Linked DNA regions of Oryzias latipes. The protein of the gene in region 5 purifies or fractionates together with the protein of the main gene of each other region. This does not show direct contact. Links are inferred from orthologs where the notes say so. Each region holds a gene or a part of one and is shown on either strand. Other genes may lie near its edges. The genes, in order: smarcal1, rfwd3, zufsp, rfc1, rpa3, top3a and prpf19.

The links.
Region 1: the proteins of rpa3 (region 5) and smarcal1 purify together in Homo sapiens (affinity purification with mass spectrometry; 3 studies listed by BioGRID and IntAct, with this or other methods). This does not show direct contact. The link is inferred for Oryzias latipes from reciprocal best matches to the Homo sapiens genes RPA3 and SMARCAL1.
Region 2: the proteins of rpa3 (region 5) and rfwd3 purify together in Homo sapiens (affinity purification with mass spectrometry; 5 studies listed by BioGRID and IntAct, with this or other methods). This does not show direct contact. The link is inferred for Oryzias latipes from reciprocal best matches to the Homo sapiens genes RPA3 and RFWD3.
Region 3: the proteins of rpa3 (region 5) and zufsp purify together in Homo sapiens (affinity purification with western blotting; 3 studies listed by BioGRID, with this or other methods). This does not show direct contact. The link is inferred for Oryzias latipes from reciprocal best matches to the Homo sapiens genes RPA3 and ZUP1.
Region 4: the proteins of rpa3 (region 5) and rfc1 purify together in Homo sapiens (affinity purification with mass spectrometry; 3 studies listed by BioGRID and IntAct, with this or other methods). This does not show direct contact. The link is inferred for Oryzias latipes from reciprocal best matches to the Homo sapiens genes RPA3 and RFC1.
Region 6: the proteins of rpa3 (region 5) and top3a purify together in Homo sapiens (affinity purification with mass spectrometry; 3 studies listed by BioGRID and IntAct, with this or other methods). This does not show direct contact. The link is inferred for Oryzias latipes from reciprocal best matches to the Homo sapiens genes RPA3 and TOP3A.
Region 7: the proteins of rpa3 (region 5) and prpf19 purify together in Homo sapiens (affinity purification with western blotting; 3 studies listed by BioGRID, with this or other methods). This does not show direct contact. The link is inferred for Oryzias latipes from reciprocal best matches to the Homo sapiens genes RPA3 and PRPF19.

Annotation. Positions count from the first base shown.
Region 1 is NC_019879.2:19,986,593-19,990,757, reverse strand, and holds the start of smarcal1 (SWI/SNF-related matrix-associated actin-dependent regulator of chromatin subfamily A-like protein 1), read right to left. Parts: upstream 2,801-4,165; 5' UTR 2,380-2,800; coding exon 2,068-2,379; intron 1,996-2,067; coding exon 1,674-1,995; intron 660-1,673; coding exon 609-659; intron 514-608; coding exon 259-513; intron 182-258; coding exon 131-181; intron 50-130; coding exon 1-49. UniProt on the Homo sapiens protein: ATP-dependent annealing helicase that binds selectively to fork DNA relative to ssDNA or dsDNA and catalyzes the rewinding of the stably unwound DNA. Rewinds single-stranded DNA bubbles that are stably bound by replication protein A (RPA).
Region 2 is NC_019864.2:6,590,144-6,594,078, reverse strand, and holds the start of rfwd3 (E3 ubiquitin-protein ligase RFWD3), read right to left. Parts: upstream 2,801-3,935; 5' UTR 2,341-2,800; coding exon 2,264-2,340; intron 1-2,263. UniProt on the Homo sapiens protein: E3 ubiquitin-protein ligase required for the repair of DNA interstrand cross-links (ICL) in response to DNA damage. Plays a key role in RPA-mediated DNA damage signaling and repair.
Region 3 is NC_019874.2:5,464,977-5,467,324, forward strand, and holds the end of zufsp (zinc finger with UFM1-specific peptidase domain protein), read right to left. Parts: intron 1,798-2,348; coding exon 1,632-1,797; intron 1,556-1,631; coding exon 1,395-1,555; intron 905-1,394; coding exon 699-904; intron 635-698; coding exon 587-634; 3' UTR 501-586; downstream 1-500. UniProt on the Homo sapiens protein: Deubiquitinase with endodeubiquitinase activity that specifically interacts with and cleaves 'Lys-63'-linked long polyubiquitin chains. Shows only weak activity against 'Lys-11' and 'Lys-48'-linked chains.
Region 4 is NC_019859.2:13,023,696-13,027,934, forward strand, and holds the start of rfc1 (replication factor C subunit 1), read right to left. Parts: upstream 2,801-4,239; 5' UTR 2,674-2,800; coding exon 2,671-2,673; intron 2,314-2,670; coding exon 2,197-2,313; intron 2,102-2,196; coding exon 2,026-2,101; intron 1,264-2,025; coding exon 1,150-1,263; intron 1,068-1,149; coding exon 793-1,067; intron 695-792; coding exon 620-694; intron 1-619. UniProt on the Homo sapiens protein: Subunit of the replication factor C (RFC) complex which acts during elongation of primed DNA templates by DNA polymerases delta and epsilon, and is necessary for ATP-dependent loading of proliferating cell nuclear antigen (PCNA) onto primed DNA.
Region 5 is NC_019869.2:20,979,314-20,983,392, reverse strand, and holds rpa3 (replication protein A 14 kDa subunit), read left to right. Parts: upstream 1-1,405; 5' UTR 1,406-1,543; coding exon 1,544-1,642; intron 1,643-1,718; coding exon 1,719-1,793; intron 1,794-3,163; coding exon 3,164-3,275; intron 3,276-3,352; coding exon 3,353-3,435; 3' UTR 3,436-3,579; downstream 3,580-4,079. UniProt on the Homo sapiens protein: As part of the heterotrimeric replication protein A complex (RPA/RP-A), binds and stabilizes single-stranded DNA intermediates that form during DNA replication or upon DNA stress.
Region 6 is NC_019866.2:19,317,472-19,320,971, reverse strand, and holds part of top3a (DNA topoisomerase 3-alpha), read right to left. Parts: coding exon 3,372-3,500; intron 3,280-3,371; coding exon 3,109-3,279; intron 3,018-3,108; coding exon 2,917-3,017; intron 1,104-2,916; coding exon 1,029-1,103; intron 910-1,028; coding exon 827-909; intron 751-826; coding exon 540-750; intron 366-539; coding exon 180-365; intron 82-179; coding exon 1-81. UniProt on the Homo sapiens protein: Releases the supercoiling and torsional tension of DNA introduced during the DNA replication and transcription by transiently cleaving and rejoining one strand of the DNA duplex.
Region 7 is NC_019868.2:15,898,566-15,902,517, forward strand, and holds the start of prpf19 (pre-mRNA-processing factor 19), read right to left. Parts: upstream 2,801-3,952; 5' UTR 2,637-2,800; coding exon 2,618-2,636; intron 2,401-2,617; coding exon 2,251-2,400; intron 1,345-2,250; coding exon 1,268-1,344; intron 1,004-1,267; coding exon 862-1,003; intron 746-861; coding exon 672-745; intron 570-671; coding exon 504-569; intron 402-503; coding exon 360-401; intron 270-359; coding exon 195-269; intron 107-194; coding exon 31-106; intron 1-30. Other genes in the region: uncharacterized protein LOC101174031, read right to left, coding at 3,498-3,713, 3,822-3,920. UniProt on the Homo sapiens protein: Ubiquitin-protein ligase which is a core component of several complexes mainly involved pre-mRNA splicing and DNA repair. Required for pre-mRNA splicing as component of the spliceosome.

The DNA.
Region 1 (4,165 bases), on a different chromosome or scaffold from region 5:
CTGGGTAGAGGCTCCACCTCCACTGCTGCTATCCCACTGATGAGATCCACTGAGCACGGAACACAGCACCGTTAGACAAGATGGTATCGAAGATGAGGGAGCTCAATATTTAAACAGCTGTGTTACTCACGGAGTCCTCCATAGTCTGTGAGCGAGAAGCTCCACTTTCTAGTGTTCATATCTACAAGAAAAGAAAAAGACAAGTAAAAAAAACACAAACAGCACAGCTAGGAAACTTCATAAGTGCGCGTTTGTTACCGTAGCTTTTAGTAGGCATTTGTTTAAATGCTCCAATGACGTCGGCATGGTAAAGGATGTCAACCTCAAACCTTGTCCGAGACACCAGGATGCACTGTCCTTTTATAGCGGCTCCAGGTTTCTGCCAACCATTGCACAGTTTCAGCAGCGCCGTTAGCGCCGCACCGTCACGAGGCTGGACGGCTCCACTGTTGACCGCCTCCATTCCCTCCAGAGGCCTCAAAGACACTGAGGCAATGGCAGCTGCTTCCTCCACTGCAGGATGAGAAGAAAGATGCAAACAGTGCTAATGATTCCTTTAAGTTTACTTAAAACAATAAAACCCTGTTTCTGGCAGTTTGTTGGCATACTTAGCTGTCTGTAGTCATCCAGACTAAAGTTCCATGTTTTTGTAGTTGGATCTAAGGCAACAAAAGATTGTGTCATTTCAAAATAAAAGCACAAACACAAGCATAATAATTGAACAAGAAAAAAAAAAGGTAACAGAGATTAATGAAAAATTTGGTTGGTGTTTCTAACATGTTTTCGTGATATTTTTCTGATGATGGAGGTTATTTACATAGAAAATGAATCTTAAAATTGCATTAATAAGTATTTCTTTTTTGAAATTGTTGTGACTCGGGAGCAGACAAAAAAAATGCCATTAGAAAAAGCTTGTAGTTGTGAAGTAGAAGTAGGGAAAACTCGCAATTTGCGATATTAGTGATCAATTTTGCGATGACGATATAAATTGCGATACATGAACAAATAGCAAAACAACCAAAAACATCATTTGTATTTTGCTGCAACAGTTTAATTTAAATAAGACTTGACCCCTAGTCTACATAGGAGGCCAACATCTAACATGAAAGAGCTCCATCCGATTGATCAACAACGTGAAGGCGTCCATTTAGCAATCTTATGGCAGCTTGCAGGTAACCATATATTGCAATTTACTCTGTCTTTTGCAATATACGTATTGCACAGCTTGATCTTGCGATAACAATAAATTTGCGATTTATCGTGCAGGCCCAGCTAAGCTACAACGGCAGGCCACAGGCTCCCAGCTCTGCTCTATTCTGATGCATCTGCTTGCAGACGAAGCTAGCAGCAAAGCATGTAAACAGATGGATGATGGGAAGTAGGGACGGGCTTACTTCGCACCAACAGTCCCGCTCACAGCTCAGAAGCGAAGTTTTAATGAATTACTGCCGCTCTGCAGAAACTATGTCCTAGGTAATTTGACTTTGACTAAAAGCAGCATAACCATAATTAAAGGAGCACAGTTCAAAAGACGAGCAGAACGGGACTTTAACATTTCTTACTGACAGACGACTGAAACAAATAACGCTAATTTGCATGAGATAAAGATCAAACCTTTCATTGTCTGATCTAAATTCTGCATCAGTTATGAGTGAAGGAGGTGCAGCGCTTACCATAATTCTTTGAGGGCATGGATTTGAAAACAGCTATTAGCTCTGCATGGTAGCCCACTTCCACTCTGAAGCGGTTCTCTGAATGAAGAACACATTTTCCTCTGACAGAGACGGCAGGCTTTTTCATAGGGGCAGAGGTGGAGGGGGTGAACTTTGCTGGGGGAGCTTGTGCAGGTTTGCTGACTTGATTGTAGAAGGACCCGAGTGCACCTCCAGAGCTGCAGGAGGGGGACTTTGTTGTGTTGGCATTGAGTTGTCCTCCAGCAGGCAGGACGTTCTTCGCATGTTGGTTTGTCTGAGAAACTGGACCAGGGACTTTTATCTACAATAAGATCAAAGCTATGGTAAAAAATTAATTTTCTTCTCAAGAAATTGATTTGAATACAAAACTCGCCTGTTTTGATGAGCCAAAGTTGCCCTGACCACCTGAACTTGGGATCTGGTTGCTGAAGTTCTGCTGCACCTTTTGGAAAGATGGAGCAAAGTGTTTGGGAGCCGGGGCTCCACTGTGATCATCAGGTCCAGCAGGGTGGAGGGGGGCACTTGGTTTTTTGGCCTGCGCGTGTCCTGGCCCAGTGCTGGAGCCCGCCGGAGGCTGCTTCGTGCTGCTGACAGTTTGTCCGAGTCTTTCTGCTCTCCGCTCCAAAGCTTTCCGTCTGTTCTCCTCGATCTTTCGCTGCTGCTCAGCAGTCAGCTGATTGGACATGTTGAGGGACTTGGCTGCTGGGAGCTACTTCAGATGACGGCTTGACACACTCACAACCGATTGGACATGATTGGAAAACTGCAGTTCATGAAGATCCACGAGTGTAAACGCTTTCACGCTCAAAAACACAAACTCCTGCTGCTAAAGAAGCTAGATCCTTTAGCTAATCAACGATTATGCTGAACTACGACGAGAAACTGAAGACTACAGTCAGCGTTTGTTTTAAACGATGTAATCCAAAGACTGTTTTTGTTCGTACATTTTATATGAATACTTAAACGTGCAACAGGCGACTTATGGGGCGTAAAAAGGAGCTAACGGAAAGCTAACAGGGAAAACTTTAGTTCAGGATCTGCCGCGCAGGAAGTGACGCAGAAAAACAAAACGTCACGTGGAAGTAGTGAGCGCTGCAAAGACCCTTTTTGTCAGCTACCAACATAAAAATAATATTAAAATATAAAAAAAACTTTTGACATCTAACAACACAATTAAAAGAAAAAATAATTTTTGATTGCTAATGCTAATTAATCATTTTTATGTAATTTAGTATTTGAAAGCTTCTGTTATTAAAAAAGAAAACTTTTTTTAAGTTACTGCTTTTACTGTTTTAGAAGGTTATTGTGTTTCTTACATGACATATTCTCTTACTACTATTTCTGGATATTTATTCCTTATAAGAATGAAATACAAAGATATAACTTTGCATCTTTGGTTAAAGGACCCATGGGGAATTCTGAATTTCGACTATTTTGGAAATCAGCAGATGTTTTTGCTGACTTTACATCAATTTTTAATGCTTCTTTGTTCATTAGCCTTTTTTTTTAAATCTGAAATCATTCTGGCAGTTCTGCTCCTGATTTTAATAGTCTAAACCATTTAATTTAACTCTTTATAAAACTGTAGTTCACTTTAAACAAAAACAAAAAAAGGGGTGGGGGGGGGGGGTTGCTTTCCAACATGGTGAAAATTTGATACTTATCAATTATTGTACAATGCTGAGCTGTCCTTAAAGGTAATTTGATTAAAATTACATTCCTTCCAGCTAAATTTTGAAAAACATGACAAACTTAACTAATAGCCCAATTCAGATCACTAGATTAATTTATCAGCAGAAGTGTTTTCTATGATTAATAAATCAAACATTCAAAAAATATTTCCACTATTTGTCATTTTAATTAAAGTTAATCAAGTTTTAATGAAGTAGTTTGTTACACTATCTAAATACATCTATCTTAATATATATATATATATATATATATATATATATATATATATATATATATATATATATATATATATATATATATATATATATATATATATATATATATATATATATATATATATATATATATATATATATATATATATATATATAATTTCTTTATTTTTTACAGTAATGGACTAAATCGGACTAAATCGTCAATGGATCTATCAAATACAAAATCAGATTGCATTTTTACTCATGTTTGTTTATTAATAAATAAATTGATTAATTATTTAATGTCTGAAATAATGATGAACCTAGATAATGATAAGACAAGAATGAATAATGAAAAAAAATGTTTGTTTGTTATAGTTTTCAATATTATAAACAGCTCACAGATGATCAATTGTGAAGATGTATATCTCATGTGCTGCCGGGAAAAAATGCGTTTCAAATGTAAAGCATTTGCAAAAGTATTTATATTTAACTGCTAATTTACAGATTTTGCAATTTTTTTTTTTAAATCAAATGACCCCCCGATGTTGCTTTGTGTTTGCCCACATTTGTAGTAATGACTTG
Region 2 (3,935 bases), on a different chromosome or scaffold from region 5:
TGGCCTCATCCTAACCCATCTTCCGGGTCCGTTCAGCCAAGAATAAAGCACTGGCTACACGGATTAAAAAAAACTATGAGCAGACAGGCCCTTAATAATAATCATAGCAATAATAAAAGCACATTTAGAAGATTGTCTCCTGTTGTTGAAGGATAGCTGCAGCCTCCCTCAACAGCTCTAGCACAGATGTCACCATGCTAAATTTGCCAGCTTTTGACAATCTCTTGGTCCACATTCTTCTACTCTTGCTTTGTCCCTCTTTTTCCAGCAGCCAACACGTGCGGTAGTGACAGAAGAAGAAGAAGACATCGCCCCGCCTCCCCCTGGAAATGCTGACTGGAAATGATTTATGCGACAGTTTTTGCGGGTGGATGTGAAAACGAAAAAGGCAATCCTCTCTTTGCATTATCGCGTTAATTATGTCACAGAAAGAGCGGTGTTGAAGGAGAAAATGAAAAGGCATTTTGGATGATTGATTTTTAATTTAAGTTTTACGACAACAAACGCAGCTTCATTGTGAGAATTAAAAAGCATTTCTGGTAATGACTTATTTTGAATTATGAGACACAAATGCTTCCATATTTTCCAACCCGGAAGCAAAATGACTCGATCTCTGAAGCTCCGCCTATCTCTCCTTGTGGGTGCCGCCCATTTCATGATGTCATCCTAGAGTCAGCATCAGCAGCGTGTGGTGTTTCGCCCATGAAAACAAACAAAATCCAAATGTTTCCAAAAATGGCTGTGCATATTGAGCATATAAAGGAAAGAGTTTTTGCCGATCCCCACCAGCTCCACGGAGAAAGTGTTCGTGTGTTAGCCACTGACTGTATAATACCTAACCCTAACCCATAGATCAGTGTTTTTCAACCAGTGTGCCATGGGAGATGGTCAGGTGTGCCGTGGGAAGCTCAGCTTCAGCTCTGTTTTCTGAAAAGTCCCGCCCCTTTCTCCACCAATCATTCTTGGAGGCTTAATCACACGTCATCAGTCTGACCAATCAGAAGTGGTTAAAGTCTTCACTTCCTTGTTCCGATTCTGCTCATAAAGTCTCTCAGTTCCAACAAAAATACCAGCTAAAGCTCGTCTTTAGTGGTGTAGCTTTCCACAGAATCCGGTATCGGACCATGGAACAAGTGAACAAAACAATGAAGCTCAGAGACGCGAATCTGTTTGCGTTCAGCGGCTGTTTGCACTACATCTCCCATGATGCATTTGGTTAAAGTGACAGCGTCTCAGCGCACAATGAGCCTCTCCTCTTAACGTCTTGAAACCACAACGAACACACAAACAGTTTTTAAACCTTCTAACTTAACTTTTATTACATCTTTTAGAAAAAAACAGCTGCAACTTCCAGCTTTTTCTGCCACAATTATCACAAAAATGCATGTGAGATTGCAGAGGGGCTGTAGATCAATACAGACTATGAGTTTCTCCTTTTTTTTTGGATGCTGGTGTGCTGCGGGATTTTCTGACAAAGTTAAAGTGTGCTGTGGCTCAAAGAAGGTTGAAAAACACCGCCATAGAAAATGCCTTGCTTCCGGTTGTAACCAAATGAAGTAAATTTAGTCGCCACCATGTTGGAACCAGGCGTCATCGGTAAGCCGTGATTGGTTCGTCCAACTGTTCAATGGCAACCACTCTCTCCAATCAGGAATGAGCATGTTAGAAGGCCTTCAGCTTTTTGGGTACTTCCTGTTTGGAATGTGAGGGAGGAGAAGGATTGTTTCGTGCAGTTCTCATTTACTGTCAATAGTGTTGACCTGGAGGGCGGACTACTTTATGGTTTTTCTTTGAGAGGAATAAACATTATAATTAGGCCTGCACAATTAATCGCAAATTTATCGTCATCGCGAGGGTCATTTGGAGAATAATATAAGGTACTTTGACTCTTATTTAACTTAAACATTAGCAGTAAAATGGTAATGTTTTTGTTGTTTTTGCTATTTGTTCATTTATCGCAAGTTATATCGTCATCGCAATATTGATCACTAATATCGCAAGTTTTCCTCATATCGTGCTGCCCTAATTATAATCAATAAATCAAATCAAATCAATGCTTTGAAATAAATCAATAAATGAAATCAATCAATAATACACTTAAAAGCTCCAAAAAGAAGATTTTGTAAGGACCTATATCTAGGTTCAGGTGAATTTTTCTTTGGTCTACTGTTTCTTTGGACTACTGTTAACTACTGCTTTATGAGTCATTTTCTTCTGAGGTAATGCTGCTGTTATTCGAGTTCATCTTCTCGATATACTTCACCTTCCTCTGCACACAAACAGCACAGCAGTGAGACAATGCCCTCTCCAGGCAGCTGAAAGACTCCTGATGGACGTCATGACATTTGTTGGGGGTCAAAAACCTCCGACAAGGCAATCCGACCAGCAACTGTAACCTGCCGATCCCCAGAGCGTGAGTGTCCGTCAGTCTGCTCGTGTTTACGGCAGCTTCGGTCGATCCATTCCGCACACGAGCGCCGCGGTTCGGCTAAGCATATACTCCAGACCGAGGTCGCACAGGCCTCTAACGGAAACAGTTCACCGGGCGCTTCCGCTTCATCTTTTTTTGTTTGTTTGTTTCTCGCTTCGGCTTCTCCGAGTGAAAACTAATAGTAACCGGGGGAGGACAGATAACCGAGCTAACACATTCCATAAACCCGATCGAAGGTCTCCGTTAGCTCTGAACGGTTAACTACGAAAATGCCACAGACCCCCACCAAAAACACCGGATATATTTGATTCCAGAGTTTTTAGTCAGAGCTGCATGCGGACACCAATGGTTCCAGGTCAAGGAGGCGCCCACATCGCGGTTACATTTCAATCCGTTAGCTTATTAGCAGCTAACGAGTCGGCGGCGGTTAACTTGACGGCTAAACCTCCGGAAGTTAAGCCACCAACCTGTGCGCGTTCAGCGGCTGCCGGTCCCTCTTCCAAGGAGCACACGGAGCGCCGTCATGGTGGTCCGGTAAAGGCCGAGATGATTGAGCAGTTCGCTGAGTAAAAGCTCGGACTGTAGTGGCCGCCGTGTGGAGTCGAATCTCCCGGCTACAGCACGCTCTGCCCGCCCATCTCACGGTCACGTGACCGACGAAGATCGTTAGTTGTTTGCATGACTCCCCACTCCCCCCAAAAAAGGTTACCACAACACACAAACACACAACACTGAGACGTGCGGTGAGGCCCCGACTCCTCTGGAGTCAGATTTACAATTGACAGAACTGAACATTTCACCATTCATCCAACAGCAGTAAACAGCTTATACGATACACACAAGAACACATTTGTCCTACAGAGATATATATTTTAATAGAAATGGGTTGAAAACTCTTCTTGTGTATAAATTATTCATATATACTGTAAACAAATCAAAGTAGAGACAGATGTGCTCAGCATACATTTCATTTTGACCCTCAGTGACTATTTCTGGTATTTTTCCAACTTCAGTTTCTGGTGCTTTAATCAGTTATCAAATGTTGTCTGTGAAAATGATCATAAAAATAATTATTTTAGGCCTAAAATTTAGTTTTCAAATACTTAATTTTTCCCCCCACTTACTCCCATGTTATTTAAAAAACAAAACAAAATTGAAAACCATGTTTGGCCTTACTTTTTGAGTACAAGCACCGATCCTTCTCCACAAAAAGCTCTATGGTCTGTTTGAAAAGTCTTCCTTATTTTCCTTTAGTTTAGTGAGTCTATGCTGTGCTGGAGAAAGATTGCACCAGTGTAGCTACAAAGCATCTGGCAGCTCACGTCTGCCCCCTGCTGGCGAGGCTCGCCTCATCATCGGCAGCCTTTTCTCTGCCCTTACAGTTAGCCCTGTGACTAAGGAGCCCCAAGTTGTTCAAAATTAAAAAAAATTAATATGAACTTGTACAATCAACGAATAAATCTCCCATAAATAAATGAAAAGATCATGACATTGTGGAAAACCT
Region 3 (2,348 bases), on a different chromosome or scaffold from region 5:
TCTTTAATGCCACACCCGGAATTTGTCAGCAAAGGACAAGTGCTCACCGTCACAGATTTGTGATCAATATTTGAGGAAAATGGTTATTTTGTGTTTGTAGAAAATGTTTCAGATCTTTGAGTTCATTTCTTGACAAATTGGAGCAAAATCAAAAGTGTTAAGTTTATGTTTTTGCTAAGTGTGAGTAAAAACATGTTGCATTTATTCTTGTTGTCTGACAGTTATGAAATAAAGTTTTTGGATTTATTCATTGCAACTTACTGAAATGATGCAAACTGTGAAATTTGATACATTTATAAGCATTTGACTTTTTTTACATGATAAACATGCGGCTCATCTATAATCCTGAAAACCTTGTCTGTCTGCTAGAACATAGTCTTTAGAGCAACAAAGTTTGCTAAATAAAACTTAATTTTTTTGTCTTTTAGTTTCTCTTTACTGCGGATATTTTTTGGGTTAAAAAAGGAAATCCTTTTAAAGGTCCTTATGACACAGCAGACACTTTTGTATGGAAAGCATTTATTATAAAACATCTAAAACCAAATTATGAAGACTGTGATCAGTAAAAAGATGCTTGGAGAGCCTCTCATGGGATCTTCTCTGCACAGAGAGTCCTGGAGTTGAAGACAGCAGCCTGGACAGAGACAGAGCAGTTTCAGGATCAAACAGGTGATGGCGGATGTGCGCTGCCAGCGTACCTGTTTGTCCTCTGCAGACAGCACCCCCTGCACCGCCAGCAGCTGATACTGTTTGTGCTTCAGGCTGCTGGGGAACTTCCTGATGTGGCGAATCGCCACGGAAACCGCATCAGTGCTTAGTGACAGCTTCGATCCGGGATCCATAACGAGAAGGGCCAGGGCGCCGCTTTTCCTCTGCTCCACGCCGACAACCAAGCGGCTGTGACCTGCAGACAGAGCAGGAAGCTGAAGGGATGGAACCACTAATCAGACAAATTAACCCAAATATAGCACCAAAGTGGACACACCGAAACTCCTCAATTAATTCGAGAAACCACGACGGCATCTCTTGCGATCACCGATGGCAACCGCGAGCAAAAGACGAAGACAGCCTGACCTGTAGACAACTAACTTTTCACACGGCAGCAGACGTGCTGACAGGAATTCCACAGTCAGAGTTGTTCTGATCTCCAGCCAACAGCTGTAATTACCCAATATGGGCATAAAGCCCCCACCCTAAAGTGTAAGAGCTCTGGTGAACATCAAACATCTCTGGTGTTCAGAGGAAAAAGACGCTAAAATAAAAGGTATGAACAACACTGTTACCATGGCAACCATGACTTCACAACTGAATTACCAAATGTGGTGACAAATTTTCAAAGGAGTTTTTTTTATGTAAATAAGCCTCTGCTGGAACACACTCCCCCATCCATTTACCTTGGTGCTGAAGGTAAAGTGGGGGCAGGCTGGTTCGGATGACCTTGGGGGGCAGTCTGTTGCTCTGGCTGGACTGAAGGAAGTACTGTCTGACCCAGTCAAACAGCCGGGGATGGGTGTCCCCGGGGCCCGTAGGCTGGTGGAAGTCAATGATGCGTGCTCTGGAGGTAAACACCGCGATGATGCTCATGAGCAACAATTCATTGCCTACACATGGAGCAAGAGCTGCCGTCCCACCTGACACCCAGCCAGGTGAGCAACACGTAGATCTCTGTGGCCCCGATCCAGGCCCGTGTTCCCTGCAGGCGGTGGTTGAAGTGGGATGCTCCTTGTGGATCCACACCTGCTTTCCAGGCCTCTTCTATCATTCTCTGGACCTGTGGGATAGAAGGAACTGCCTTTTCTGGCCGAGCAAAAAGACATCAGTGGATTTGGAGAAACTCAACAATAACATTAATATTTATTAGCACACATGAAAACCTCAGTTTATTGGTTTAGGTTGTCAGTTATGTGCTTTCTCTCATTTAGGAAATGTTATCTTAAGGCTACGTGACGTCACTCAGCCACTGTGTACATTTTCCACGTATGAAATTTTAGTCTTGCGTGATTTACGGAATTCAAAAGTGTTTCTTGTGTTAGTTATCTGTCGATGTGCTCAGATGTCTGTCGAGGGTTTAGGATCTTTACATGATTTCCGGACTTTTAGTCTATTGAGAATTATGCAGGTTATGCATGTTTTACGTAGTTTATCCGCAATTGTTATGTAAATCTTATGCAATTGTGTGTGGTTTTTGGGATACACAAATTTGTGGCTATGTCTAACAGACTTTTAACGCATGAACCACCGATGTATAACTTTTATCTCCCGTATACGGCGTACGTTTCGCATTCAAATTACGTAACTGACGCACAAATCACAGCCCAATAATCACACACGGTTCATGTTCTGTGTCA
Region 4 (4,239 bases), on a different chromosome or scaffold from region 5:
GTTCTACTATCAGACACGGTTGTATTTTTTCACATAACTTACATGTTTCGACAGATGTCTTCTGTCTTTGTCAGAGTCGCTATTTATGTTTTCTATTCATTTTTCTGTTCCATTTGTTCTGTTTTCTTACACTTTTTTTTATTCCAGTCCTTTTCCTCATTGGGATCTTCTACACCTGAGGTGTTGGACTCGAGCCCTCGAGGGCCGGCAACCTGTTGTTCAGAAACCCTGAAATGCCTGTTGCCATGGTTACCTGAATCAGGTTTGTTTTGCCAATTAAAAGCTACAACGGCAGCTTGGATGAAAAAACAAGTAGGACACTGGTTAATGAGGCCTGGAGTCTATACCCGTGGTATCATTTGGAGTGAAGCTCTATGACGTTTCACATTTGATGTTTGGAGCCTTTTCAGCTGCTTTTGTATGAAAAGGATTTTATAAATAAAGCTTGATTGGAAGTGTTGGAAATCGAAAAGATAGAGTTTCAAACCTAGAGGAAGTCTGTGTTTTGATCCGAGCACTTTCTTTAGAGTGAACTCTAGGAGTAAACTTAGTGTACAGATTCCTGAATCACTAACTTCTGCTTCTGTTTTTACGCCGGAGTGTTTGATGATCTGCTCACCTCCATCTCTTCTTCCACCTGCAACTGTCGGGCGATTTCCTCATCACTTATCAGATCCTCAAAGTCTTGTGTTGGCTGGAAGACAGGAGTTATAGTGAAGCTGGATTGTTGTAAAACAAATGAGAGTCCTGAAAGCTGGAGGAGAAGAATGAGGAGGATTCATCAGCACTCACAGCTTTTCTCTTGGCGCTGGCTACCAGCTTCTTTTCTGAGCGATGAATAGCAGCACCGCCGAAATAATCCGCCACTGAGGTAGGAGTTAGTTTGGGTGGAGGTGGTGCAACAGACTTGGGGGTTGTGGGACTCTTTAGCCCAGATTTTCCTGTGACAGGAGAGGCTTTGGATCCTGAGCGAGAACGTTCTGCGTCCGCCTTATTGCTTTTAGGAGAACCGTTCTGTTTGGGTTTGGCTCCTTTCTTCAGCGACTGAAAGTTGTCGCTGTCCGAGTCTAAAAGCACAAAAACAGACGTCAGAAAATCGGCTTTTTAGCTTATTGAATCTGGAGGACGTTGGATGAAGAAAGGCCTCACCTGTTTCAGAGACGTACTGCACTGGGTCTTTTTTAGGAAGAGGCTCTGCTTTGCTGCTCGTCGATTTAGAAGATTTCTTAGACTTTGTTGCAGGTTTCTCCTCTTCTTCTGAATCTGAACAAAACAACAAGAATTTATCCTTCAAGCTTTTTAAAAATAGGATCTGAAATAATATTTACCTTTTAGCTGTTTTAAGTCAAGGATTCACAATTTCCTTTGACACTAAAATAAAATGTTGATTTTATGAAGGAACTTCATACCTTCTTTAAAGGTAAGTAAATCATAATAGGGCTGTGATTGTATAAATTCTGCCTTTAAAGCTATTTTAAACTATTATTTAATAATCCTATTTAATGTGTCATGTGTGTCATACTGTATGCATACGTGCAACTATGTTTATTTATGATTAGGAGTAATTATAATGTCAAGACAATAGCATAATCTTCTTTTATTTTCTAATGAACTTGTGGTTTGGTAGGTAGGTTTGGTATAACTATGTATGTTTATTTCTGCTTGATGCTTCCTGCATCACATATGAACCTCTCAGCCAGCCTCTCACTTTTTCTTTGACATTATTATATAGTGATGCTGAGAGACACTGCACCACTCAAAGACATATTACACTCGTTGTTCACCTTTTGACACATCCTGTCAGAGGTCGCTGCTGCGAATCAGCTTTCACTGAGTCACACATTTGGTTTGGCAGAGACTTTTTTTTAGGCCGGATGCCCTTCCTGACACAACCCTGTATTTTATCCGGGCTGGGGACCAGCACAGGGAGACCTGGAGTTGGCCCCCCATCCAGTGCTGTTAAATCACAGAGGTCATCTCGTGACTTTAAGCCACGCCCATTAGGTCATCCAGAGTCTTTCCTACCTGATGCTATGACAGAATACTTCTTGCGCTTTTTCTCACTGTCTTTGCGTCGCTCCTCTGTTTTGGAGCTTTTGACCTACATGAGATAACACAAGAGAAGCTCAAAATCCCAAACATGTGCAGGAACAGCACTTAGTGTAGAAGTAAAAATGAAAACACAAGAGTATCAACCTTGGTTCTTTTCACATCAGAGGAGTTGAGGTTCTTCTTCTCCTCTGCTTTGGTGTTTGGCGCTGGTTTCTGCACCGCAGGTTTCCCTGATGTCGGTCCAAAGAACCGCCTTATATCCTGAATGCAGAAGCAAAGGAACTTTGAGGCTATTTTAACAAATCAATAATCTGTACTTCAGTGTGCAAAAAAAAAATCCCTGCATCTCTTCAAGGATTAATTAAATTTAAACTACAAATGTGCGGATTTAATTATTAAAACATCCGGTAAATTATAGCTGCTGTGCAATAACCTGTTCCTATATTAAAATAAAAAATGTAGGTCAACAAGTCAATTGTCTTAAAACTGTTTTAGCTAACCCACAGCAGAAGCGCGCGACAACATCTGCTTAGCATCCAGTTTCTCCTCAATGTCAGACTTTGCTCACATGCGTTCGCTTTCTGTGTGAGGTGGAAACCATAACGGTGTGTAACATACCATGTTGGAGATAATTCCACAAGGAAACCTCACAGTTTGTTATCAGCAAAATAATAAAAACTCCCAACTACTTGGCGCCAAGTCTGCAGTCGCTAGGAGATGACGCACCGGATGCTGGCTGCGTCACTGCGTCATCCAACCAGCGTCTTGAGAAATTCATCACACATACATTTAAAATCATTTTAGACAAAACTTCTCATTTGAATATAAACGTCTTTCTGCCGCTAAAAAGATAATTTAAGTGGTTTTCTAGCTACATCTTAGTTGATAAATGATCTGCACCAAGTTAACTTTAAAGATTTATTTAAAAAAAGTAAAAATGCTTTTGACATTTTCATGTGTAGTAAAGCTTGTTTTCCCTTTCTTTTAAAGTGCCTCATAAACAGTTTCTCACTTTTATTTTCAGTCCAGTCAATACAAATCTCTCCTCACAAATAAGCCTGCGTATACTTTCTATTGTGTATTTATAATTCAGCTTTACACTAGAATAAATATAAAGTTTGAAAACGGTACAATAGAAAAATTATGTCCAGAATATTAGGAGGCAAGATAAACAATTCATTGACATGGCTGGCCTCTAAATTGAAGACATTTTTAGCTGTTTACAGAGGATTGTCAGATAATTTTTTTTTTTTGAAAGATAAAGGCCAATTTGAACACTTTTACAAAAAACATTCAACAATTCCTTCAGTATGTGTGACTAATTTTATACCTCTGACCAAACTTTACCACATTTTAGTTCAGATCACAACTGTTGTCTTTAATAAAGCTTTCATTAGATGTCGGCAACAAACGGAGCTCAGCTACTTTCAGATAAACAGCCTTAAATTAGGACTAAAATGGGCAGATGATGGAACTGCTCCACTTTGCTTCAGTGGATGACAGTCGAGATCACAAAACAGAAAGCTGGACAATTTATTTTAACCATAAAATGTATTTGTCACATTTCCGTCTGTCCAACATTTACAAAGACAACTCCATCTTATAACCAAAGGTTAATGTAAAATAAGACAGAAAATGTTTAAAATGACTTGATCCATGTAAATGATGCATGACGGAAACCAGTTTTCCCCCAAAGTTTTTGTGAAAATCATTCAATTTAAAGCTGTCCTTATATTTTGATAAATAATCCCTCACCTGCTTCTTTTATACTGTCACACTGATGAGTTTCTCAATACTCTCATTTTATGTCTTTAGGAACTTTGGATCAAAGCCGAGTCCAGTTTTCTGCTAAAACCTTCTTGATGACTTAAACCTTAAATGCACAGCTTTCTCTAATCAAGCAAAGAACAATTACACAGACAACAAGAGATCAATCGAGCTGGAAAAAGGTTATTTTATTGGTCATAGCAGAATCTGAACATTTATTCACTGGCTGACTCCACCACAGTGGTCCTTTCGCTCACATAGATGCCGTCCAAGAACTTCCTGATGTCCTTCTTCCTCACTGTGGTGGCCTGCTGGATCAAAGCCGCTGCAAAGAGAGAAACAACAAGCGGAGAGCAGAGCGTGAGAACGGGAGCTGTGAGCGGCATGCAGGCCGTGTCTGTGTGGGAGTAACTTCCAGTA
Region 5 (4,079 bases):
ACTGCACTGATTCAAAAGGAAACTAGAAAAAGTAAATCTATCTAAAAATGTTTAATCATTTTTGTTGCTACAGAAATGACAAACTATCGGGGGAAAAAAGTGCGCTTACCGCCAGAGCCTGCTAAACATTAATGACATCTAATGACTATCTAAGTCTAAGTCATCTAAGTTGTGATGCCAACTTAACTATGCATACAAGATAAGACAAGATATGAACAATAGGAGTCAGACATAAGAAAAAGTAAGTGTTAAAAAAACTGAACTTGGTTATTTTTGTTTCTACAAAGGGGAAAAAACATAAACCAAAAAAAAATTAGGATTGTATCTGGTGTTTCCTAATGAGTTATTTCATGAGGCTGTGTGTCAAAAGCATTTAATAGTGTTTAAAATGTAATAATTGTCTGATTAAAAGAGTTTAATCCTTTAATCAAAAGAAAAATGTTTTATGCTGTTTTGTAGTTTTGGATCGTTGAAGTCTCTGTGAGCAATAAATATGGATGTCTAGAAATGAAAATATAAATTTAAAAAACTAGAAGAAACAGCAGAAGATACAATCAGGATTCTGGTATTTGCAGTTTTTGCTTGTGTGAGGAGACAGGGGGAATTTAATTAGGGCTAAATTTAAAGGTTTTTGGGATGAAGATCCTAAAAACCTGGAACATGGAACTTTTAAAACAATAGACAAACAACTGTTCAATTTTAGCATGACCAGAACAGCAATTGAGAAGATCAAAGGTGCAAAGAGTCATGATGTGGATTTACTGTCGGATGAAAATAACAGAATTCAGGGCTGCAGCTGAAAACAAAAATTAAAACAGAGAAAAAATACTTATTTATTGCAAATAGAAGAACTAGTGGGAAATCTGTTGACAATGAAGTGAAAACAGCAAGATTCTGATGTGTAATATTCTTAATAATCATTTGTTTTGGAGGATGTTTGACAGATGTTGGATTTTGCAGGTGATACAGACATTTACATCCTACTGATGAAGCAACACCAATGCATGAAAACACTTAAAGGATAGTATATTCAAAAAACTCCCAGGCTCTTAAGCTCACCATGGTCTCCCAGAAATGATCGTTTACAAAAAAATATCTTTATTTATTGCTTATAATTGTTATTCTTACTATTTTGCAAATGTACATCTTTTTTCACAAAAGAGGTAATCACACTAACTAAGATCTAGCCTGTCCCTTCATGATAAATAACAGAGAAGGGAAGATTTCGAGATTACATTTTCGATTTCAAGCAACACAAACGTTTAAACGTGTTGTATTGAATCCGTTCAGACAGTAGGTGGCGGTAAAAACACCAATGAAGGCCTAATCTCCCTGAAACCGCTTAGATGAAGAAGGAGGAGGCGTGTACCTAGAAACTAGGCGTTTGTTTTACTCACCGTGTTCTTTTTTTGCTTCAACAAATTCCACCGGTTTTTTAAGCCCACTGTTCGTCTCCACCCGCGTTACAACGCCCGGTGTAAAAACAAAAGACTCCCAGGCTTCCCGCGCCCAGCTGCTTCAGTCTCGTGTCTGTGGCGGGAAGATGGCAGGAATCATAGATGTTCCGAAACCCCGAATTAACTGCTCAATGCTGCTGCAGCACATCAACCAGGCGGTCTGCTTCGTGTGCCGGGTGTCTAAGGTCGGTTTCGTTCGAGTCCTGTGGGGTTTGGTGGTGACAGGCGTTTCAGTTACCGAGTTTTTACTTTGTGTTGTAGGTTCATCCCTCCGGGAAGACGTTCACGGCGGTGGACGGAGAGGGGAAGACGGTGACCGTGGAGCTCAACTGCTGTGTGAGTACGCGCACACACAGCAGCCCCGTGCTGCTGGGACTCCCGTCCAGTTCCTGTTGGTCCATAGGCTGATATTGGATGTTTAAGACATTGATTGTGTAAAGTAAACCTGTTTTTCGCATTTTTAAACAACTTTTAACTTCGTAGTGACTTTACCTTCCTAAGAAAAAGAAAAAAAACTCTCACGACATGACTGTCTCCAAACTACGTTTCGGAATGACTTAATTTGACAACATGTACTTTATTAAAAAGACAAATTGGCAAATGGCAAAATTAAATTAATGTTTTTTAGTGTGTTTTTGTATGATTTATCTAATCGTTTTGCTTATCTTTGTGTTTGCATCGGTGAGCATTCTTATTCCCAAAAGTATTAAACCTCACTGCCTGCGGAAGTCCCGCCCACAAACTATAACGCGCATGTCTGACAGTTCTAAGGTACTTCCTGTTCCATGAAACATTTGAATGTTTTTGCTAGATAGATCACTGAACAAATGAAATATTATTTAAGACTGTCTGATACACAAATGCATATGTCTTTTTTGTTGTTGTTGATTCATGAGAAATTAAATCAGAAAATATGTTTTTCATGTATTTATAAAAAAGATGTTATAAATTTAATTCTTAATCTAAATTAAATACTGAAATACTTAAATACTGAAAAAAATCTACAATTATATTTCTAGTTGTATTTATTATATTTTGCTTTTAGATTTCTCATAATTCATCAATTAATCACGATGGATGGACGGAGTAGTTTGGGTTCATGTTCTTTATGCAATATAATTTTTTTTTTGCTAAGTTTTAATAAAATCGGAATAGATAAAGTTATAAAGTTACATTCATCCTATCTGTATTATTTAGGAAGTAGTGCTACATTTGCTGATTCCAATTGCCAAAAGCCTCCCACTGCTGAGAGATTTCTTTCTTTCTTTTTTATGTTTACATTTGTTTTTCTTTTCTTTTTTTGCGTGTCATCTTAAAGTTGTGAAAGATCTTAAAAATAATGAACACAAAGGAATTCTTAAAAGGCCTAAAGTCTTTTCTTCTAAAGACTTTAGGTATATATTTCGACAATTTTGAGTCTGCACCCACAGAAACTAAACTGAAATCATGCTTTTTTTTCTTAAGGTGGTGGACTGATCTTTTGTTTTTGTGTAAAGTTCCATCAACTACAGAGATATTGTGAGTGCGCTTTAGGTCCGGTTTATACTTCAAAAGGGTTTGTAATCGCTGGCGTCCCTGTGGTCGCACGGCTATTGAAGCGAAATTGCCACAGTCGCTGTAAAATAGTACCCCTGCTGGTGACGTCAAACTCTGTCAGAAAAAAAATGTCTTTTTAGCACTGAAAGGGGGTGAAAACTTGTTTCCAGCTGGAGGAGGAGCTGAGCGGCGTGGTGGAGGTGATCGGATTAGTGTCCAACAAAGGAGTCCTGATGGCCGCCACATACAACCTGCTGCGAGAAGACCGCGGCACCCCCTTTGGTGGGAGTCCAGTGAAGCTCTGCTAACTCTCCAGGAAATAGTCGGCGTCCCTAACTGTCTCTGTGTCTGTCCGGCAGATTTGGAGCTGTACAACGAAGCCCTGAAGGTCATTCATGACTTCCCCCAGCACTACCCGTTCGAGGCCGCCGTCAGCGGCTGAGCCGATGCCGTGGCTCTGACCCTGCCAGAACTCATGTAAAATATTGTTAAATTAAATTTTAGTTAATATCCAGAATAATGTGTCACTGTTTTTGGAAAAACATTCATTCTTTTCCTTGGTTAATAAAGTTTTTGTTTTCTGTAATTTCTCGTGTTTTTGATCTTTTAGTTTGAAATAAAGAAGCTACAATTTTGCTTTTTTTAGCAGCAAAGAGGCAGGTAAACAAAAGTGATCAACTGAGGATTCTTTTATCACATAAGACAGCCAATCAGAGGCAGCGGGGAGCAGGTTTTCACACAAAGTGAGCATGAGTCATCAGCTGGTGTTGTTGTTGGTGAGGAAATTTTTTGACCTTTAGCGAACTACAAAACAGAAATGGGGGGAAAAATGGAGATCTGTCCAGGAAATAGACTTTTTCCTTTGAACAACTATTCTACAGAGCTCCTTTCATCATCACGTTTGTGTTCAAGCAGAGATGCAGCCACATGTCAGTCTAACGTCAACTTAGTAACACATGATCCTATTTTATCTGTCAGCAGGCATCGTTTATCTGTTACCTCCACCTGATGAAGTCCTTGAGAATAGAAAAATTAACCAGAGCGGTCAGCAGGGGGCAGTGTGAGTTGAGAAGCTCTAGATAGACA
Region 6 (3,500 bases), on a different chromosome or scaffold from region 5:
CTGCGGTGGACTCGTCTGTCCGTCTACCATCTCAATAGCAGAGGGCTGGAACTGAGAGTCTTCTTCATACACCGGAATCACCTGCAGCACACACGTGGCAGCGAGTACACAATAAAAACAGATTGTCGTGAAGATTAAGAAACTTGCAGTGAACTGTCAAGAGTTCGGTCTGTTTGTACCTTTGCGTTCCATTTGTCGTACGGATAAACATCCAGGTAGTTCCTGGCTATAATCATGAGTCCGGAGGTAGAGAACTTCTCTTGAGCAATGTCTATGTCCACCACAGTCTCCTGCCCCAAAGCATCCTGGGACACACAGGCCAGGAAGTGTCGAACAATAAACTCGTAGACACGAGCTTCATTTCCCTGGAGCGGAAGGAGACAGTTAATGTTAAAGTAATCGTGTTTACCATTCATGAAGAACTTATCAACTCAATAAACAAAACAAAAAAACTTCATATTTCCTTTAAAAAAATAGTTTTTTCTTAAAATGGAATTGAAATATTAAATAAAAGCATATTTTGACTCCTTACAACCCACCTGCAGAGAGCTAGTGTACTTAGTGGGGTGTATGGGAGGGTGGGCCTGGTCCGATTTTTTGCCCTGCCTTGGGTTGGGCCCCCCAGGCTGGTCAAGCACCCGCTGGGCAAATGTCCCCCACGTTGAGCTGTGAGTTTGCTGCTCCACCAGGGGCGCCAGGACCAAGTTTGCAGGAAAAATGTTGGTTTCTGTGCGAGGATAGCTGATAAACCTGAGCAGAAACACAACGGTCTCAGGGAACAGTCTGGGCTCGAACGCACGGCTTGTTCAGAGGTTGAGACGCTCACCCTTGGGTGTAGAGCTTTTCGGCAATCTTCATGGTCTCTTTGGCGTTTATTCTGAGTTTCCGAGAAGCCAGTTTCTCCAGCTCCTGCAGGTTAGGCAAAGGTAAAAGACTTGTGATGTTGAAATAAATCCACAACAAAAACATTTATTTTTCAACAACAAACTTTGACAGCATGAAAAAGTATTTTGGTTTCATCCTTTTACCACAGTGTCCAGAGGCAGCGGTCTCCATTTACTCTTTGGTTTGCTTGTTACTGAGGTGACTGTTGCTATGGGATCCTGGAAATGAATAAAATCATTTTCTCATTTCAAATATGGCTTTTAGACCCTTTCATTCACTCTAATAGCTTCCAGTCAGAGTCATGTCAGCTGCAGCAGCACACGGCTGGCAAGAACAAGGAGCTTTTTAAAGAGGAGAAACTACAGCTGGATTTGCAGCATTATTGGACTCAAAAAATGTAATCATTTATTTGCAGAACGCCAAAGTAATCCCTACATGAGTTTATATCTGAGACTAAAATGGAAAAGCATGATGTTAAATGTTTACCTATGACAAATGTCTCTTTTCTTTCTTTTTTTTTTAAACCATTTTAAGGGATGGGATTCATGCAAAACACAGAGTTAACTTATTTCACAATGTGTTTTGTGTTCACTTTGAATAAATCTATACAGTTTTCATTTAAAACCAATTTTGTTTAAGAAAAAGTCTTATCAAATAAGTGATTGAAGCAAAAAAAAAAAATCAGAGATTTATATTTAAAAATGGTGAATTCTTACATAAACTGTTAGCGCAGTGTCTGAAAAAAAACAGCAATTTGTTTATTTAAAGAAAAAGATCAATTTCAGTTTTTGATGAGTAAATACTGCATTTTATAAGTAAAGTTAAGTTTAGTTTTAGTCAAATCATTTTGAAACCTGATCTAGGTGGCTGATGCTGTAATGGATGAGAAAATATCTGGCAACAACAGCTGCTGTAACATTCGAGATGTTTGATGTCCGCCGTTTCAGAAACCATCATCTTCAGGCCTGTCAGAACACACGACCTGAATCTGCTCCCTGACTCACTTTCTGCCACACAGGACAGTGAAAATGAGAGACCGATAGATCCAGAACACTACAGCGTGTCTATGAATGAAAGTCACTAAGGCACCAAAGTCTCTACTCGTCAGAAAAGAAGCCACAAAAAGGAAATAAGAGTTTAAAAACCATGTTCAAGTATAAACCATGGATATTACAAAGACAGAAACCATTTCTGGGTAAAAATATAATTCTGATAAATAAGTTTGAATGACGGCGCTGCACGGTGGTGCAGTGGTTAGCGCGCTCTTGCCTCACATTAAGAAGGCCCCTTGTTCAAGTCCCGGCTGCACTTAATGTTCATTTCAGTCATAGCCGTTTAAAAATGTACCCAAAATATACGAAAAGACAAGACATCCCATTTGAAAAGTCTCCCATTTTTAAAAATAAACAAACAATAAAAACATTTATTTTTCGTCAAGCTCAACCACAAAGCTTATTGGTTTAGTATTTGTTTGTTTGTTTATTTAAGACACGGAGAGCACATTTCAAGGTGTGACATTTAAAAATGCAAACATCCAACAATAATTATATTGGGCTAATATCCATCTTTAGTCCCTATGTCCAGATTATTCGTGAGAGTTTGAACAAAACTATAGTTAGAAATGATTTTGTTTTGTTTCTTTTAGGAAAATTGGCAAAAATCTCTAAGTAAATTCAGAGAGGATTACGTTGCCTTAAACAGTGCTTCTTAGTATCGTAAAACCAAAAAAATCTTATCCGAAATATGACATTTTTCAGACAAAGATGATGACAAAAGCATTTTCATTTCTGTTTCTGTTTCTTTGTTGGGAAAAGATCAGAATGTTGGTGAGCATCTGAACAGCATTGAAGTTAAAGCATCAAGACCAGTGAGTAAAATACCAGGTGCAATAAAGGCCGCGTTTTCTTACCAAGACCCATTAAAATCATTCAGGTTTACAGAGTTTCATCACAAACATATTCCAGCAGATTAAAAGGTTGAACACACATAGTCGTGCAAAAATTCATGCAAGGTGCTTTCAGAAAGTCGTACCTCCATGCAGATCTGGTAGAGCACCAGGCAGCACGTGTGGTTAAAGAGCCGGTTTCGTTTCCAACTGAACTCCACGGTGTCGTCCTCTAGTGTGTGTAGCACTGCCACAAGGAGACACGTGTAAAACTGGGGGGACTGAACAGAGCCCTGCAGGCTTGTGTTTGGAGATGTTTTTATTTTTATTTTTGTTACCTTTGATTTTGTAGAAGGTCTCTGGTATAAAAGCTTTGATGGCTTTGAAGCGTTCCACCACAAAGCCCAGAGTGGGAAATTGACAGCTGCCATATGAGACGAGCTGGTTGGCCAAGGATTCTGGGAAAATCTTCTGCAGGCGGAGCGTCTGGAATCGGGTGAAGGATGCACCTGCAGAAAGTGACGTCAATGACTTTGTCTTCACAAACAGCCACGAAAGGCAGCAAAAGAACCTCTTTTTTTTTTTTTCTCAGTCCCCTTACCTATCCGTAAATCCAGCTCCTGTCTCACATCCACGGCATCACTGATGTTTGCATCTGGCTCTATTAGAGTCTCACACGCTCTCCGAATGGAAGCCGGTGTGATCTCAGAAAACTTTGCTCGGAAGACTT
Region 7 (3,952 bases), on a different chromosome or scaffold from region 5:
TAAATCAACATTAAAATAATGACACTTTACCTGTGAGCACTTTGTTGGTGTCAGAGGGACACACATCCAGAGCCAGAATACCAGGCACACTGGCACTATGCAGACCCTACAGGAAATATCAAAGTCACACCACAAATATGAAGCAATCCAAACAAAAAGTTACATCCTCTGGATTCTCCAGAATCTCTTCTTACAGCGTGGGAAGCAACTTGGCGGTACTTGCTGAGATCTTCAGCTCTGACCAAATCCTCTGGAACAGTTTTTCCTCTCTGTAGATAAAAAAAAAACACAGGGTGAACTGGGCGCTACCAAGACAGATAAAGACTCCACAAACTGTTAGGTTGTAGTCAATACTGCACCTTCTTTCTCTCTGTGGTGAGGATGGTCGCCTTGTCTTGAAGCTGCAAACACACAACAACAGTCAAATAGACCAAAGGAACAAAATCTTTCTACAAACAAACTTTACAAAGTAGAATGGTTTTTAAAACTAAAGAAAGCCGTACCTTCTGAATGATCTCTGGGGTCATTCCCACCTGTTCACTGATCTCCATGGGTTCTCCACCAGCACCCTGAAACACAATATTGACAGTTATTAGACAGATGAGTTATGAAAGTCAATACAAAGCCTTTTTTTTAAAGGAAAATAATTCAATAAATAAATCAAATTTTACTGCAGCAGCTGGCTGAGAGGCAGGGACTGCTTGAGGGGCCACCAGTCCAGCTTGGGGTTTAAGTGTAGCAAGAGCTGGAAAAAAAGACAAACAAATGAGCCAATTAGACAACCCCAATTATGAATAAACAAAACACACTCTTCATTCAAAATCACTTTGTAAGATAGCATTTGACGCAAACTTCACTGACCTTCTCTTGCAGCAGTGACCTCTTTGTTGAGGCGGGCGATGACTCTGCAGGCGGCATCGTGCTGGTAAAGGGCATGAGAGAGTTCTTGGCGAGTCGTCTGCAGCTGCTGCCTCAAGGTGAAACTATGAAGCATCACAGCATCCTAATTCACAAAAGAAAATGGGTCAGGTTACTTTTACCAGAGAATCTCTCAAAATCCACTTCGGGTCGTTTTGAAAAGCGGATTCCAGAAGGAACCCATCACATCAAACGCAGATCATGACGTTTTGTTTGACCAAAACACATTCTTCATTAAATAATGACAATTCCACTGACAAGATATGATCCCATTCTGCCACAATTGTAAAAATGAACTGTTATTCATATTTTAATGACTAAAAACATTGTATACGTTGATGCTACTTACCCACTCGTCTTGAAGTGACTTGAGAATGGCAGGAATGCTAGTAGCAGATGGAGCCTTTGGTCGAATAGGATGAGTAACTACAAAGAAATTAAAGCAGACATTTTCTAAAGCCGTATAGAATCACTGTATCCACATTAGGTTTTCTTATCATGCAAAATCAACTTTTTGAGCTTTAAGTGAATCATAATGTTAAGCCCTCAAGAAAAACGACCCCAAAGCCATATTTTGATCCATTGACGAAGCTCTGAGCATTCCTCTAAACCCAGACCCCCCAAACCACCTTTTATATGCACAATACATCCATCTTTACAAGTTTGGATTTTGTTTGTTTTTGTGGGCGAAACGCAGACACACTGGCGAGGCCAGCTCTAAGTTAACAAAATGAAATGGGCGGCAACCACAAGGAAGGAGCGAAAGCCAGTGCCTCAGAGATCGAAAGTCTTACCTCCAGGTAGGAAAAGGAGCTGAAATAACTAATATTTCATAAATAATTTGTTCTTTAGTGTTCCAAAGGTAATATATGTCATTTATATGGATATAGTTTACTCTGAAATGCTTAAGAAAAGCATGATTATAGGCCCACTAATTAAGTGTTGCAAATATACTACAACAATATTTTTAGGTTAGGCGTGTGTGTCAGTGTATTAGTTTTTGTTTTTTTACTATAGATATTTAATAAATATGTTATTATGACCTTCTCTATTTTTTAAAAACAACAAAAAAGTACTTTTCCCCCCCACACCATTTGTTACTGCTGTTTTTTGATCAACTTTCTGGCATTTTTTTTTAAATACTTTGTGAAAAATTGTTTTTCCAATAGTTTTGGTTTCATAAATTCGTTGTTTCTTTGCTTAATTTTCTTATATATTTATTTAAATTTTGTAAATTGACGTGCTTTAGAGATGCAATATGTTATGAATGATATTTGCTTTTTAAGACGAAGGTCTTGAACCTGCGCCATTATAGGCTGATGTGTCGTTTACCTTTGATATCCACAAGCTGCTCCTCGGACAGGGGCTGTCCGTTCATCGGGTCCGTCCCATTCTCAGCGATGTACTTCTCTATCAGTCTGCGCTCGAACACATGGTTGGACACCGGAGAGATGCACGGGTGCTCTGGAACCTCGTTGCAGACTGAAATAAAGGTGTGGCAACCGCTTGAAAGACTATTCTAAATCAGTAAATTCTTTTTTAAAAAGTAAATAAAAGCAACAAACATAAAATGAACGGAAGCAATTCCATATAAAAGGCGGCATTGATGGCCGCTAACTGCTACATTAGCTAGTTACTAGTAGCATTTGCGTGGCGCCTCGCTAAACACACACATTTCAAAGGTTTTCACTTAGCTTACTTGCACAAACCAGAGACATGTTCCCAACGCTGTGTAAATAGTCTCCTCTGGAAAGTAATATATGCTTACTCCAACCTTGTGTTTCGCTAGTGTGCACCGATAATGACTGAATTGAAACTAAGAAAAGCTATGCCCTTTCATAGCCTCAATAAAATGAGCCAGCTTCTTCTTCTTCGTGAAATGTCTGCTAAACGCAATTCGAACGTTGTCTCCACACTGCCCCCTAGTGCTTAAAATGAACAATGCGTTGGATTACTGTGTCTAGCAGGAAACTAGTAATCTGAAACTAAAAATTGGATTACGTGTGTTTAGATAAAACGGATTTATTGTTTACCACGTGTTTATTTTAAATTTTTGTTATAGAAATATTTTATGTTTTGTTCATGAAGTTCAAAGGTTAGCAGACCAAATGGAAAAGCACATTTCACAGCACTTTACAGTTGCATTGAGTTGAAAGGAATGACACCTGCAACAAATACTACACTGTTACAGATAAGATCATAACTAATTCAATAATTGTTGTTTGGGTTATAAATGTATTAACACTGTGGAAGAATGTTTAAGTGAGTATGAAATATATATATTTAGTGTCAATACTCTATGCAGCTCTAGAAATAATACAACACTTGCAAACAGGGTGACACTCAGTAAACACAGTGCAGATAACAGTGGCCCTGAGGGTCTGGAGGTAGGTAACAGCAAGAGATCTTAAGAGTACAATCCACCACTGCAACATGAGACAGAAAATGCAATGCTAAATTCATGCATCCAAAGATTATGTTTACCAAAATATTTTGAACTGTAACTTGCATTGAGTAATGTCCTTCACTGTTATTTGTTCATTCTATAATGTCCTTCTTTTCTCATTTTGGCACCTGTTTTATAAAAAGTCCAGTTTCTCTGACGTGTAAACGCTGCAGGATTCAGAGGTGTCTGTGTCCAGTGGCAATGTTGAAAAGAACTCTGAGCTCCACCTTTTTTCATCTCCATCCTTCTTAATCTGGTACTGAGCGCAGTCCTCAGAGGAGTGGAGGCAGTCTGTTGCTCCAGGCACAGGAAAGGAAATCTTCTCTTCATTCTCATTCACTTTGTTCTCCTAGAGGGAATTCAGGGGGTGGGGGGTGGGGGGGGGGGGCACATGGGTAGTTTTTATTTCTTTTGATTTTATGTCAACATGAGCCAAAAAAGGCTGACAGAGTTTTACCTCAGTGCTTCTGTCATGCCTGGGCGAGACCCCAGCTGTCCGTTGCTGTACTTGCTGGTTTTCAGAACTTGGTTCCCCTATCGTGACAGGAGTGTAATCCTAGAAATGAAACCCACATGTTCAAACACTCA